Linked DNA regions of Arabidopsis thaliana. The protein of the gene in region 2 interacts with the protein of the main gene of each other region in a pairwise test. Each region holds a gene or a part of one and is shown on either strand. Other genes may lie near its edges.

What was found.
Region 1: the proteins of IRT1 (region 2) and AT1G20110 interact in a two-hybrid assay, tested with the Arabidopsis thaliana proteins (one study listed by BioGRID).

The regions. Positions count from the first base shown.
Region 1 is NC_003070.9:6,969,456-6,975,630, reverse strand, and holds AT1G20110 (RING/FYVE/PHD zinc finger superfamily protein), read right to left. Parts: upstream 4,208-6,175; 5' UTR 4,078-4,207; coding exon 3,073-4,077; intron 3,001-3,072; coding exon 2,914-3,000; intron 2,822-2,913; coding exon 2,690-2,821; intron 2,589-2,689; coding exon 2,457-2,588; intron 2,303-2,456; coding exon 2,237-2,302; intron 2,152-2,236; coding exon 2,041-2,151; intron 1,896-2,040; coding exon 1,803-1,895; intron 1,694-1,802; coding exon 1,660-1,693; intron 1,570-1,659; coding exon 1,502-1,569; intron 1,131-1,501; coding exon 1,053-1,130; 3' UTR 501-1,052; downstream 1-500. Other genes in the region: AT1G20120 (GDSL-like Lipase/Acylhydrolase superfamily protein), read right to left, coding at 1-127; AT1G20100 (DNA ligase-like protein), read left to right, coding at 4,932-5,012, 5,452-5,722, 5,812-6,175. UniProt on the Arabidopsis thaliana protein: Endosomal sorting complex required for transport (ESCRT) component regulating multivesicular body (MVB) protein sorting and plant growth. Required for the formation of intra-luminal vesicles (ILVs)in MVBs.
Region 2 is NC_003075.7:10,703,514-10,710,745, forward strand, and holds IRT1 (iron-regulated transporter 1), read left to right. Parts: upstream 1-3,830; 5' UTR 3,831-3,973; coding exon 3,974-4,561; coding exon of another isoform or gene 4,562-4,609; exon of another isoform or gene 4,610-4,646; intron 4,647-4,656; coding exon 4,657-4,806; intron 4,807-4,904; coding exon 4,905-5,210; 3' UTR 5,211-5,502; downstream 5,503-7,232. Other genes in the region: IRT2 (iron regulated transporter 2), read left to right, coding at 1-468, 566-715, 803-1,108. UniProt on the Arabidopsis thaliana protein: High-affinity iron transporter that plays a key role in the uptake of iron from the rhizosphere across the plasma membrane in the root epidermal layer. Acts as the principal regulator of iron homeostasis in planta.

The sequences.
Region 1 (6,175 bases), on a different chromosome or scaffold from region 2:
GAACTCGCTGTAAGCGGTTTGCTGAAGCATGCATCGTCAAGAGGAAGAAACAAAAGAGTGAGAGAAACAAAACACATCGAGATATTTTCGAACTAGACAAAGAACCAGAAACTCTATCTTGCAACATATTTGCTATATGATCTTATCTGTCTGATAAGTAAAAGAGAATTTTTGCTGTGAAGCTACAAAATATAAAGAGTGGGAGACTAAAGTGTTTTTCACTCAGAAAGAAAGAAAAAAAGTGGACATAAGCATGTGGTTTAGATGGTTATAAGAAGAAGATGCTTGTCTCTTACGACTCCTTCTCATTCACACACTTTGAACTTTTCTTAAATTCAGTTATCCATTACTAATCGCACTCTCATTTTCGTATTACCCTCTAAAACTATAAGACCACAGTTTCTACACTATTCTCTCAAAAGAAAAAAAATACGAGATGATTTTCCAAAAACAACTCGAATAAACACAGCCTCGACCCTCGAGAAAGAACAAGTGTGGACAAGAATATTAAAGCGTTTTATGATACTTAACCTAATTGAATCAATTGAATATGAAAGGAAAGCTTAAAAATTTGGTACACCATTGTAGCACAGTATTTTACACCATTGTAGCATTCATTGATTCGAATCAGAGGATTTGCAATTACCATGGAAGAAGACCAGGTCAACTTGAAACCGCTCTGTTTCGGTTCCAGGCGCAGTATAACATAACGTTTCAAGTGTTTGGACCTAATGGTAGTAAAATACATAATGAACAACGAACCGATTGGACTACATGTGAGTGGTCAGAGAAATTGAAGCAGGAGTAATGACATTGGAGGACTGATACAGTAAATTAACCAATCAGACATCAGTAGGACAACAGACTACATGAAAAGTATAAGATGTTCATCACTCAAAAGACTTTCATATACACACAAAGGGGAAACACCATCCACATGAGACAGGACAAGAACTTATTTTGATGTGATCAAACCCAATTCAATAACCAAATGAACCAAATCTCATACTTATAATTGATATATATGTCAAGCAAAAAAGCGGGTAGGAAGATCAATGTGCGCTAACGAGGAAAGGGTTTTGGCAAACTCCGCACTCAATGGTCTCTGATCCTGAGACTGGAACCTGGACCTGCAATTTAAATGGCAATGCTCTCATAAACGCATACTATCAAGAGACACTACAAACAAGCCAACTTCAAATTCCAATCTGCCTCGAGTTATCTATCAACTTGCTTTAACTATTTATTCAGATGATTAAGCGACAATCTCCATGATCCAATCTTAATAGAAAATCACATCGACCATATGTAACTGTTTAATACTAGAGGTCTCACGTAAGACATAAACATTTCTCTAGCTATTCTATTTCGTCAATGTAGTTTGCAAGATGATCATACACACTGACACAAGTGATTATGAGGACCTCCCTGTTTTCCTTATTCTAGAAAAAATTGGGTCCCAAAATCATACAACGAAAGACATGCTATCAAAGGATCTAACCTGTAAGTGCACAGTGCATGTTGGACAAGCTACTTCTTTCATCCGCCTCCCAGATCCTTCCCTCAAACCTGTTAGAATCATAGCTATCATTGTCAGCAACCATAAAATACCAGAAACAATATATCATAAACATAAGTATATTAGATATGAAAAATTACCAGACGAAGACTTGCGGTTTCTCTCCATTTCCTCCTGTATCAAACATATCCGCCATCAGAAAACAATTATATACTTTGCCCAAGATATTAACTCAACTTGTAAATCATTAAACTTAATAAAGAACCAAGGACGATTAGCTCACCTGTAACTTTCTAGCAAGGTCTTCATGGCTCTGCAGGCTCACATTCCTGCCAGTGGTTTCCTTGGCATTACTCAACCTTTGTGACACTTCTGCCTGCACATCCAGAAACAGATTGAACTTAGAGGCATACGCATAAAAGACAAGATACCAGTTCAAATTAACTTAAAGCTACATTCTCAGGAATCAACGGAACATGATTTCTCAACTTAAGGAAAAATAAACAGACAGATAAGCATACCATGCACCGGTCACAAACACGGACTTGAGGAGCATTATCCTCAGCAGTGAGAGCAATCCTGCCTTGAGTACACTTGTCACAGAAGACGTCACCACAATTCCTGCAGTGGTGCTAGAAAATAAAAAATCCATAAGGTTTGATAGTCCCAACATGGCCAAAAATTTAATTCAGATTGTTAGATCGGGGAAAATAATACCCTTCGTATAAATGCACCGAAATCTGAACCACATGATGTGCACTTAGAAACAGCTTCATCAGGTACCTAAAGCCAAAAATAACATGGAATGAGAACAACATACCACAGCTAAGCAAGAAAATAAGAATCAAGTGATGTAACTAATCACCAAAACTACCCTAGCCCTTTTACTTTGACTACAAGAGAAATGTGTTTTTCTTCCAAAAAAAAAAAAACCTACCCAATGATCTTTCTCCTCATTAACAGGCTTTATAATGTTCATCCAATCACCCAATCCTTTTTTCTTCTCAGCAGTTTGTTCAATCAGTTTTCCAGAGGTGGGAGGCCTGCTACTTCCCCCGATCTCCTTGGCCTAAAACCCACCAACATAAGAACATTGGATTAGTCAAAAGAAATCATGATGGAATTGACATATAGACTTTTAATGAAACAAAATTTGTAAATTTTATGAACCTGAAACATTGCAGCCGTCACAGTGTCCAGAAGGGTGTTGGTGGTGTAACTATTTGATTGCAATCTGATACGTTTAGCTTCAATGTCTACCGGAGTCTTAGACCAGAAAGCCAGAATAGACGAATCTAGTTTCTGATAGAAAGACATTTACAACAATAGATAAGACCTCCAGTCACAAAAATGGAACAAATTCAGTCATAAGAAGAAGGTAGATAATCTCTTACTTCGCATCTTGTGATGTTCTCAAGAGGATATATTCTCAAAGTTCGGCTAGTACTTGGATCAAGCATACGAAGACCATCCAAACCAATCTGCTAGCACAAAACCAATTCACTAAAACTAGTTTAGGTAACACAAAGTTCAAATTGAATTGGGGACATTACCTGACAAAGAACATCTGTTGTGGTTTGTCCATAAGTCTCAGCCAACAATTTGACACGAAATTTCTGCACACCACCAGTGGAATCTTCCTGCACATCAGCCTTAGGAACAGCTCTCACGATCTTAGCAGAATTCGAGCTAACAGAAGAATCTCTCCCTGAAGAAGAAAAGCTAATGGATCGTCCATAATCATCGAACAATGTTGAATTCGATGATTTCGGCGCAGTTCCACGAGAACCGTATGGCTCAACTTTGCCTCCTTGATAAGCATAAACGCCATCGCCATAGGAATCTTCAAAAGCAGGATATTCTCCGCTATCAGATCGTTTTCCGTATAGATCAGATCCTAAATCCGATCTGCTCCGGTTATAACCGTCATAACCAGATTGATCAAATTTCACTGACGGTTTCTCATACGAAGGAGGTATGGATGATCCTCCGCTACTATAAGGAGGTGCAGAGTACAAGGATGATGAATAAGGCGCGGGATTAGGATTCGGCGCAGGCGCAGATGAAGGAGGAGGCGCAGATGAATAGCCAGAGGTTTGATGCTGATCATACGGTGAGTAATACATATGTTGCGAGGTAGGTTGCTGATACGGAGCAGTAGAATCAAATGATCCATAAGAGGATAGAGGTTGTGGATGAATCGTGGGTGGAGGTGGTGGTTGGTTGAAGGTTGAATAAGAATTAGGGTTTAGTGATGTCGCCGGCGGAGAAGGAGGAGGTTGTGATGGTGAAGTGAAGGAAGGAGCTGAAGGAGGGACATGCTCAGAGTTTTGCCCGTAAGGAGTGTAATTCTGTGAATAGTTAGAGTAATCGGCGGAACCGTAACCGCCGGTGAACGGTGGCGCTGATGCGTACGTGTTTCGAGTAAGATCGGTCGGACCAGCTACGGTTGCCGGCGCCGGCGGAGAAGGATTGGGATTAGGATTAGGATTCGGAGTAGGATTTTGAAATTGAGAGTATTGGTGGTGATAGTACGAATTGTAATCTCCCTGTTGCATCGCTGAATCGGTGATCGTCGGCGATGATTTGATCAGATTATATCGGAAATTGGAAACGATGACGAAGATGAAGATGAAAGATAGATCGAGAGAGTCAAGGGAATATTTGGTGAGGGAAGGATTGTCTGTGCCGCGAACTTTTTTGTATATTTAATAATAATACACGTGGCGGTATAATGAACCGTTGATTAGAAGTAAGAGATGGTTTTTTAACGCGTGATGCCCACAGATAATTGTAGCTGTTTTTCTATGCAAGCGTAAGGAACCAAGTCGGACAAGAGACCCATTAATCACAAAGTCAATTAAAATTAATTATTCTCCTCGTATTAACATTGGGTTTTGGGCTTTTGTAGTTTTTGTTAAGCCCAATAATAAAGTTTGGAGTAAGAAAGACGCAAAGGATAAAAAGGGTATTTCAGATGACGTAGCAAACTCGGACCGAGCTTCACGGAGATGATAACGACTAATTGACGGAATAGCCCTTACAAATTAGGGTTTTCACATTATTCTTTCCAAAAACGTAAGTATAGCCCGAGTCGGCGGATCTGAGTGTTTCACGCGTCTTTAAATAGAACCTTACCCTTCACCATTATTTTCTCAACCGCAATTGGTTTTTTTCTTCTTTCTCTCTCTCTCATCGATTAACAAAATCGAATCGAAAAAAAAAATTAGGGTTCTTCTCTCTTCCGTCTCTCGTTATCGATTTCGTTTTGATTTCGCGCCACAAAGAAGAAGTTTCATTAGGCGCGAATCTGAAACCTAGGTTCGATTTAGTTCTGTCCGAATTACTGTCCGTTGTCTTGTCCGTTAGTCGATTCGATCTGAGAAAGAAAGAAAGAGAAGAAGAAAAAACGATGTCACGATATTTCACATCCCCACCGCCTGTGTATGCGAGGAACTGGGCGAACGGTCAAAACTTGGTCGAATGGACTAAGGTTCGTCGAGCACTCAATTCTTGTGATTGATTCGCTACGGTGTCCTCTTGTCTGAACATGGGTTTCTGTGTTCGGTCAGAGTTAAATTTCCTTATAATATCCTCTTTGTAGCCAGATCTCTAGGTTGCATATAAGTTATTGATTGGTTAAATTGTAGGAAAATATCTTCAGCATAGATCTATGAATTGAATCTACACTATACATGTTTTAGCATAATGAATTTCGTTCTTAACGATGTCGTGTAGACATGTATGTTAGTTTGGTTTGGTCTCCAATTATAAAGTCAACCATAAAGACGCGTTGTAGATATATGTTTTGAGTAATTAACATTATGTGTGTTTGTGGTTGAATGATGTTACCCACGTATATGGGTATCTGGTTGTTTGCCTGATAAATCCTTCCTCTAGTCTAAATCCTTTATTCTGATTGGATTATAAAGATCGAAAGACCAATAGTTGATTCTAAAAAGCTGCATCGGAAAGAGAAGAAGGAGAAAAAGAAAGAAAAGAAATTAAAGAAAGAGAAGAAATCCCTTGAACAGAAGTATTCCACAACCAAGACAGTCTCATATGAATCCGAACAGCTTGAGAAATCTTGTTTAACAGAAGAATTTGAGCAACCTCAGGTTGGATATTTGTCTGATGGTAGCCAGAACAGTAAGAAGAGAAGAAGGGAAACTTCTCCTGCTGTTGTTGAGAGTCAAATCAAAGGTTTGTGCTTTGTTTCTTCCCGGATTAGATGAATATCTTTATTGTGTTTGAATACATATACTGAAACAGAGACGTTTAATCATTTGCAGCTACACCTGTAGCTGGTAAACCACTACGGATTCGTATTGTTTTCAAGAAACCGAAAGAAGCTGAAGCTGTACCTCAAGAGGATCCTGTTTGTTCCACTTCAGGGACTCAGAGACCTAGCGAATTACCAAGTTCTGTCTCTCTTCCAAGTATCTGTGATCATGATGTGGCTGTACCCTCAACTTCTCTTGAGAGTGGCAAGGTAGCAATTATTTCCGAATCAAAGAAGAGAAAGAAACATAAGCCTAGCAAAGAATCCCGGTACAATTCATTGTTTGATGAATTAGTTCCTCCCTGTATTTCCTTGGAGGAAGATGATAGCAGCAGCGATGACTGGCTTTTTGGAACAAGTCGGAAAGAAAATGT
Region 2 (7,232 bases):
TTACCACTCAAAATCGTAGCCATTGTTGCCATACTTACAACAAGCTTGATAGGCGTGACCTCTCCTCTTTTCAGCCGTTACATTTCGTTCCTCCGTCCCGATGGCAATGGTTTCATGATCGTCAAATGTTTTTCTTCTGGAATCATCCTTGGAACCGGTTTCATGCACGTCTTGCCTGACTCTTTCGAGATGTTGTCATCGAAATGTCTTAGTGATAATCCGTGGCATAAGTTCCCTTTTGCGGGTTTTGTCGCTATGATGTCCGGTCTAGTCACTCTAGCCATTGACTCCATTACCACCAGCCTTTATACCGGTAAGAACTCAGTCGGACCAGTGCCTGATGAAGAGTATGGCATTGATCAAGAGAAAGCGATTCACATGGTAGGCCACAATCATAGTCACGGTCATGGTGTAGTGCTAGCAACTAAAGATGATGGACAGCTTTTGCGCTACCAAGTCATTGCCATGGTTAGTACATATGAAAATACTACAAAACGGTCTTGAGTTCAAATCATAAATTAATATGTATAACCATACTCAAGCTATTTTTGAATACCATGAATAGGTATTGGAGGTTGGCATTTTATTTCATTCTGTGGTCATTGGACTATCTCTAGGAGCAACTAATGATTCATGTACCATTAAAGGACTCATCATAGCTCTTTGCTTCCATCACTTGTTCGAAGGCATAGGTCTTGGTGGCTGCATCCTCCAGGTACGAATATACATTCATACTATATAGTTTATGTCTCTTATATCAATTAGAAATTTACGTTCATATGTATATAATTTATGTTAACAGGCAGATTTTACAAATGTGAAGAAGTTCTTGATGGCATTCTTTTTCACTGGAACAACACCTTGTGGTATCTTTCTTGGAATCGCATTGTCGAGTATCTATAGAGATAACAGTCCAACCGCGTTGATTACGATTGGACTGTTAAATGCTTGCTCGGCCGGAATGCTCATCTACATGGCCCTCGTCGACCTTCTAGCTACCGAGTTCATGGGGTCAATGCTCCAAGGTAGCATCAAACTTCAGATCAAGTGCTTCACGGCGGCTTTGCTTGGCTGCGCCGTAATGTCGGTCGTCGCCGTGTGGGCTTAAACACTCTTTCAACATAATCAATAAATTATTTGATTTATTATTCAAGGCGACAAATACTTTCGCCTTTGTATATTTGAGTTTTTGTTTTTAAGTTTGATTCATTTATTAGTTTGTATAGTGCATGTAAGCGTTTGAAAGAAATTTCTTTTTATGACATTGTAAATTTATTTTTATGAATGCGATGTTTACTTTCTTCTTTGGAATGACATGTATTTAATTATTGGAGTTTGTTGATTGTCAATGTTAGTTAGAAAAAATTAGGTCCGAAATACTAGTGACACGGAAATTAAAGCTATATGAATTAATACTATCAATTATATTTAAAATTACTCTCTTCAAGAAAATGTACATACAGTCTCTTGTTTTAATAAAGAAAAATTTCTTACTTTGGTTAGATTTAAATTACACAATATTTCATGACAACTATTTAACCATAAAAACTCGATAATGTACTATATCTAACACATAATTTGTAGGTGTGAATGGCTTAAGCTAAAAAGCTTATAAATTCTATGTATTTCATTCCATTTCATGGTTTTTTGGTTGAAAACTTTAAGTACAATAACAGACTTACTAACTAATTTGTAAATTTCCACACATGTTTTGATTCCATACACCTGGAATCATATCAAATACTTGTAAATTCTGAACCTATTGAAACAAGTTGAACCATTTCTTTCTAAAGATTAAATGCATTATCTTGAAGTATAAGTTCTTAGAACATACTATTAAATAACTTTGAATAGTCTTCAATTTTACTAATGCCTTAATCAAGTTTTGAAATTATCTTTTTCAAATCATACACACTTCATCCTGACAATTGTAAATGTTTATAGTTTTTAGAATAATTTTTACTATTTTTTTTAATTTGTGTCAATATCTGATTTGGTTTGATTCTAGACTTCGTTTGTTTTCTCAAATTGTGCAAGTAAAAAACACGAATATATCTATTTTTTATTTTATGTTCAGAAAAAAAAAAATATATATATATATATATATTCGTGTTTTTTACTTGCGCAATTTGAGAAAACAAACGAAGTCTACAATTAAGCGAAATCACACATTGACACAAATTAAAAAATATTTCTTTTCTCGACCGAAAAAAGAAAATTATTTCACCAATATGGAAAATCTCCCCAAGTTCATTCTATTTTCTGTATCAAAGTTAACGAATAGACATATAAGCATTTTGTCACGTCGGTGGAGTATGAGTTTGGCACGTTTTGTTTCGTGCTCGTCCAACCATATGAAAACGTGGGAGGTAAACCACTCAACTAATAATATTATACCTTTAAAAAAACTATATTATAAATCCAGTTTGATGCTTATTTTATTAATCATTCTTCAAAGAAATAAAACTTAAATAGTGAAAATTATAACCGAAGTTGACTAGTTAGGAGGCATGCCATGGAATATTGGATACATACTCGGCATGGACAGTATTGAATATACAGGATAATGTAGATAACTATATTTTCTATAATTTATTTTGTGTCAACTATTTTTTCTATGATTCTGATGATTAATTGCATGACAATCAATCAAATTAATTATGCCTTCTTCTATATAACCATGCAAAACCAAAAAAAAAAAGATTATTTCGAAACGACATGAGAATCAAAAGAACTCATAAATCCTAATAGACATGAAATTATGTATACAGTTATAACATTGAAATATCTTAATACCTTACCTAAAAGATAACTAGATTAATAACCATAAAACCAATAATCATTAAGTCAATAACCCCATAATCTTATAAATGAAGTCAGTGACTATATGTTCATGTAAAAATGCGTAAGTTCATAGCTAGATGTCCCTTTTTTAGGAGCACATGGATTGACACATTAAACATTCATACCCGATTTCATGGAATTCTATTTGTCATTATCCTTTCCCAAAAACTTAGTTGTTTCTTAGTTATTAAACCTTGAAAAAAAATCAATTCAAAAATGAAAAATGACTTATATGTATGTCATTTTTGAAAACTAGACATCAAGCTATGAAAAGAGGAATCTATTTACCGAATAAAGGAGGAGGAATCTACATTCATATGTAGTGTTTTTGGTGACTGGATTGCAACCATACACTGAGCACAAGCTGTCACGTGTGATGTTGTGCTCGTAGCATAAACTATAAAGTATAAACCTAATTAAGCTTAAAGTTAAAAATAGTACAAGATTAAAAAGTAAACGTTTGTGAGAGTTGACTAACAGAACTATAGAAGACGCATGGGGTTGACTTCAAGCGGTCTGCAAACGGCATGAACAATGCATTCAAACGATAATATAAACCTTAATTCCAATATAGCCTTTTTCAAATTTAAAAACTCGAATGTTTACGAAACTATAACTTGATAAAACTGATTGAAATAAAATGTACTTACATTTTTTTAATAAAATATACTTAAATTTTTTAAATAAAATATACTTTAAAATATACTTAATTTTTTAAAATCATACTATGGATTTTAAACAAAATAAATTGTCACTGAGTCATATTTCTTTGGATAAAAGAACTTTACATAAGTGATTGGTACAATATAATAATATGCAAATTTAAGACATTTTATTAAGTTTATATTATCGTTTAAATGCATTTTCTATCAACTTAATAAAATCTAGCTAGGTACTTTCATAATTCTATCATTATTCCTTTTGAACGATTAATTACTTTATTTTCTCGTTTCACACTGGAAGCAAACGAGTAATCAAATAAAATTTCGTCATCATCGACAATAAATGGCATGAAAACAACCAGCACACATTACTATATAAACCGATTCATCTAGTAAGTCCAAAGTCACACAAACATTAAACAATCTAAACACACAACAATCCAAAAGAAAAAAGAAAAAAAAAAAAAATGGCTTCAAATTCAGCACTTCTCATGAAAACAATCTTCCTCGTACTCATTTTTGTCTCTTTTGCAATCTCTCCAGCAACTTCAACTGCGCCGGAAGAATGTGGAAGCGAGTCAGCGAACCCGTGCGTCAACAAAGCTAAAGCTTTGCCTCTCAAAGTCATAGCAATCTTCGTAATCCTCATTGCAAGCATGATTGGTGTTGGAGCTCCTCTCTTTAGCCGTAACGTTTCGTTCCTCCAACCAGACGGAAACATCTTCACTATCATTAAGTGTTTCGCCTCCGGGATCATCCTTGGAACCGGTTTTATGCACGTTTTACCTGATTCTTTCGAAATGTTGTCATCTATATGTCTTGAAGAGAACCCGTGGCATAAATTTCCTTTCTCCGGATTTCTCGCTATGTTATCGGGTCTAATCACTCTAGCCATTGACTCCATGGCCACGAGCCTATACACCAGCAAGAACGCAGTTGGTATCATGCCCCATGGTCATGGTCATGGTCACGGCCCCGCAAATGATGTTACCTTACCAATAAAAGAAGATGATTCGTCAAATGCACAGCTCTTGCGATACCGAGTCATTGCCATGGTTCGTACGCACATATATACATACCGAATATCATTGTATTTTAAATGACATATTACCGAATACATAGGTATATCTAACTTTCTACGGATATATAGGTCTTGGAACTTGGGATCATAGTTCACTCGGTGGTCATTGGATTATCTCTAGGAGCAACTAGTGACACTTGCACCATTAAAGGACTTATAGCAGCTCTTTGCTTCCATCAAATGTTCGAAGGCATGGGTCTTGGCGGTTGTATCCTCCAGGTAAATATACTTTAGATAAAAGAAAAAAAATTATCTTTAGCCAAATGTTGAAATTGTATATACAAATATGAAACATCTAATGTTTAAGATAATTTCAGGCTGAGTATACAAATATGAAGAAATTTGTTATGGCGTTCTTTTTCGCGGTAACAACACCATTCGGAATAGCGTTAGGGATCGCTCTATCAACTGTTTACCAAGATAATAGCCCAAAAGCTTTGATCACGGTTGGACTTCTAAATGCATGCTCCGCTGGATTGCTCATTTACATGGCACTCGTGGATCTTCTAGCTGCGGAGTTCATGGGACCTAAGCTTCAAGGTAGCATCAAAATGCAGTTCAAGTGTTTAATCGCGGCTCTTCTCGGGTGCGGTGGAATGTCGATTATCGCCAAATGGGCTTAACTAATACTCCAGATATTGCGGAATTGAAATCATGTGGATTTCATTATCGAACTAAAACCGTTTTAGGTTTACGTCTCGATTCTCTATCGGTTTTTTATCTTCTCTTACAAAAGATTTGCGTGGATCTATCACATTTTAAGGAACATGTCTTTTGGTAGATATGTAAATGTGATAGGCCCCACGATTCATAGTTTTCTTTTGTATCTTCCTTTATTTTGTCAAGGCAGTATAGTTCATATCGTGTAATGTTTTTGCATCTCATATAAATAAATAAAACTTTTGCTGCTTTTTCAAGATAAGTAAATTAAAGAAAAATATATATTATTTTACTTTGTAATCTATATTCGACAAATCTAAATACCAATAATTGGAACTTTAATCACAATCACGTAGTCTATAAATATACTTACTAGCTTGGCAATATTGTCAATCACTTGCATATCGTCCCATACTGCTTTAAATCTCAAATTTATTTTTGAGTATTACTAGGCATTGATATCCTTGTAGTTGATTTAAGTATATAATTTAAACAAGTTCTCTAACCGGGTTCTGTTGATAAAATCAATATGTCTACCAATTGAACCAATACCAATAAATTTTAGTCTTCGCTTGAAACTAAAGTCAAAGTTCGAACAAACAAAATCAGATACATAGTCGAAGTTTATAAACTTTATATGCAGATTCAGTCGATTTCCAAAAGCGCTGGTTTTACTTGGAAAATGTATATCTATCGACCCATTTATGAAGGCTCACTTGATTTGGGTACGGGCATTACTTTCAGCCCAATTATGTGTCCTTCTAACAAAAAACTTATCTCCACTCACCTAACTCTATCTTATTAGTGAGAAGGCATCCTACATTGAGATAACAGCTCGGATTGGTGAAGAGAAGAACCAAACTCGAGCTGTGATCTCAATGTAGGATGCCTTCTCACTAATATATCTCTCTATTTAATCTATGTATCTGTTTTACATTGGTCACTAAACTATGTAACGTACCATTTTCATATAAATATGGTTCTCGTGAACCATATTGTCGCTTCTCCAATTATAACATTTCCATGCTCTGGATTGAATCACATAGGACATGAACATAAGCCTCTTGTACATTGATGTTCCTCTTTCTTAATTTGTCATCCTCTTCATGACTATGAGTATGATCATGACCATTGAAGGAAGTGAAGAAAATACATCATTCATCAGTGAAGCAGTATGTTTATAGCTTAGTTATAAGCATTTTAGAGTCTCAAAACTTCACAATATTGTGCTTTAACTTTAACATTTTCCAAATTTATGCTGTAATATATGTATCGTTTTTGGGTGACCTACATCTCGAAAAATATTGAAGTTTAACTGTAGATTCACTTTAATTTTACTTGGTTATCTCATTCTTCTTCTAATGGAGTTACTTAGCCCCCATTCCCCAACATGGTCACCTCATTTAGGTTAATTTATAAAGTTTGAGGTGTCACAATATGAATGGATTTACATAATTCAGTATTCTTTTAATTAAGATGCTGGTGGGATAAAGAGGAACAATATTATCAAGGCTGATTTGTTCATACTTCATACTCATGCAGTCATATAGCTAGGATATTTCCATGGCTCTTCTCACTGTTTTCTTTTGTAGGATATTTTCTCTGACTTATGTTTTCGTCAAAATGTAGGTTTACGGTAGAAAAGTCCTATCAAAATTTCCGTTCTAAGAGTTGTAAGATTTCATCATTTGCATGATTTTTTTTGTAGTGTGCTAGTTCATAAACAAAACCAAAATCCAACAAATTATAGCCACTCTTTATGTACCGTTACATTTTCATCCAAATCCAACTAAATGTTTTGATAAACTCAAACTAAAATATCTATTATTATTGTTATTGACTTGTTTCTAATCTAAATTTGATTTGGGAAAATAAATAAGATACTGGATTGAGACATGGTAATCGTTTCTTGGACGCGTTCATTGTAACTCGTGAATTCATCACATCGTCGTATTCATCGTTTTGTCTATACATGCAACGCACAT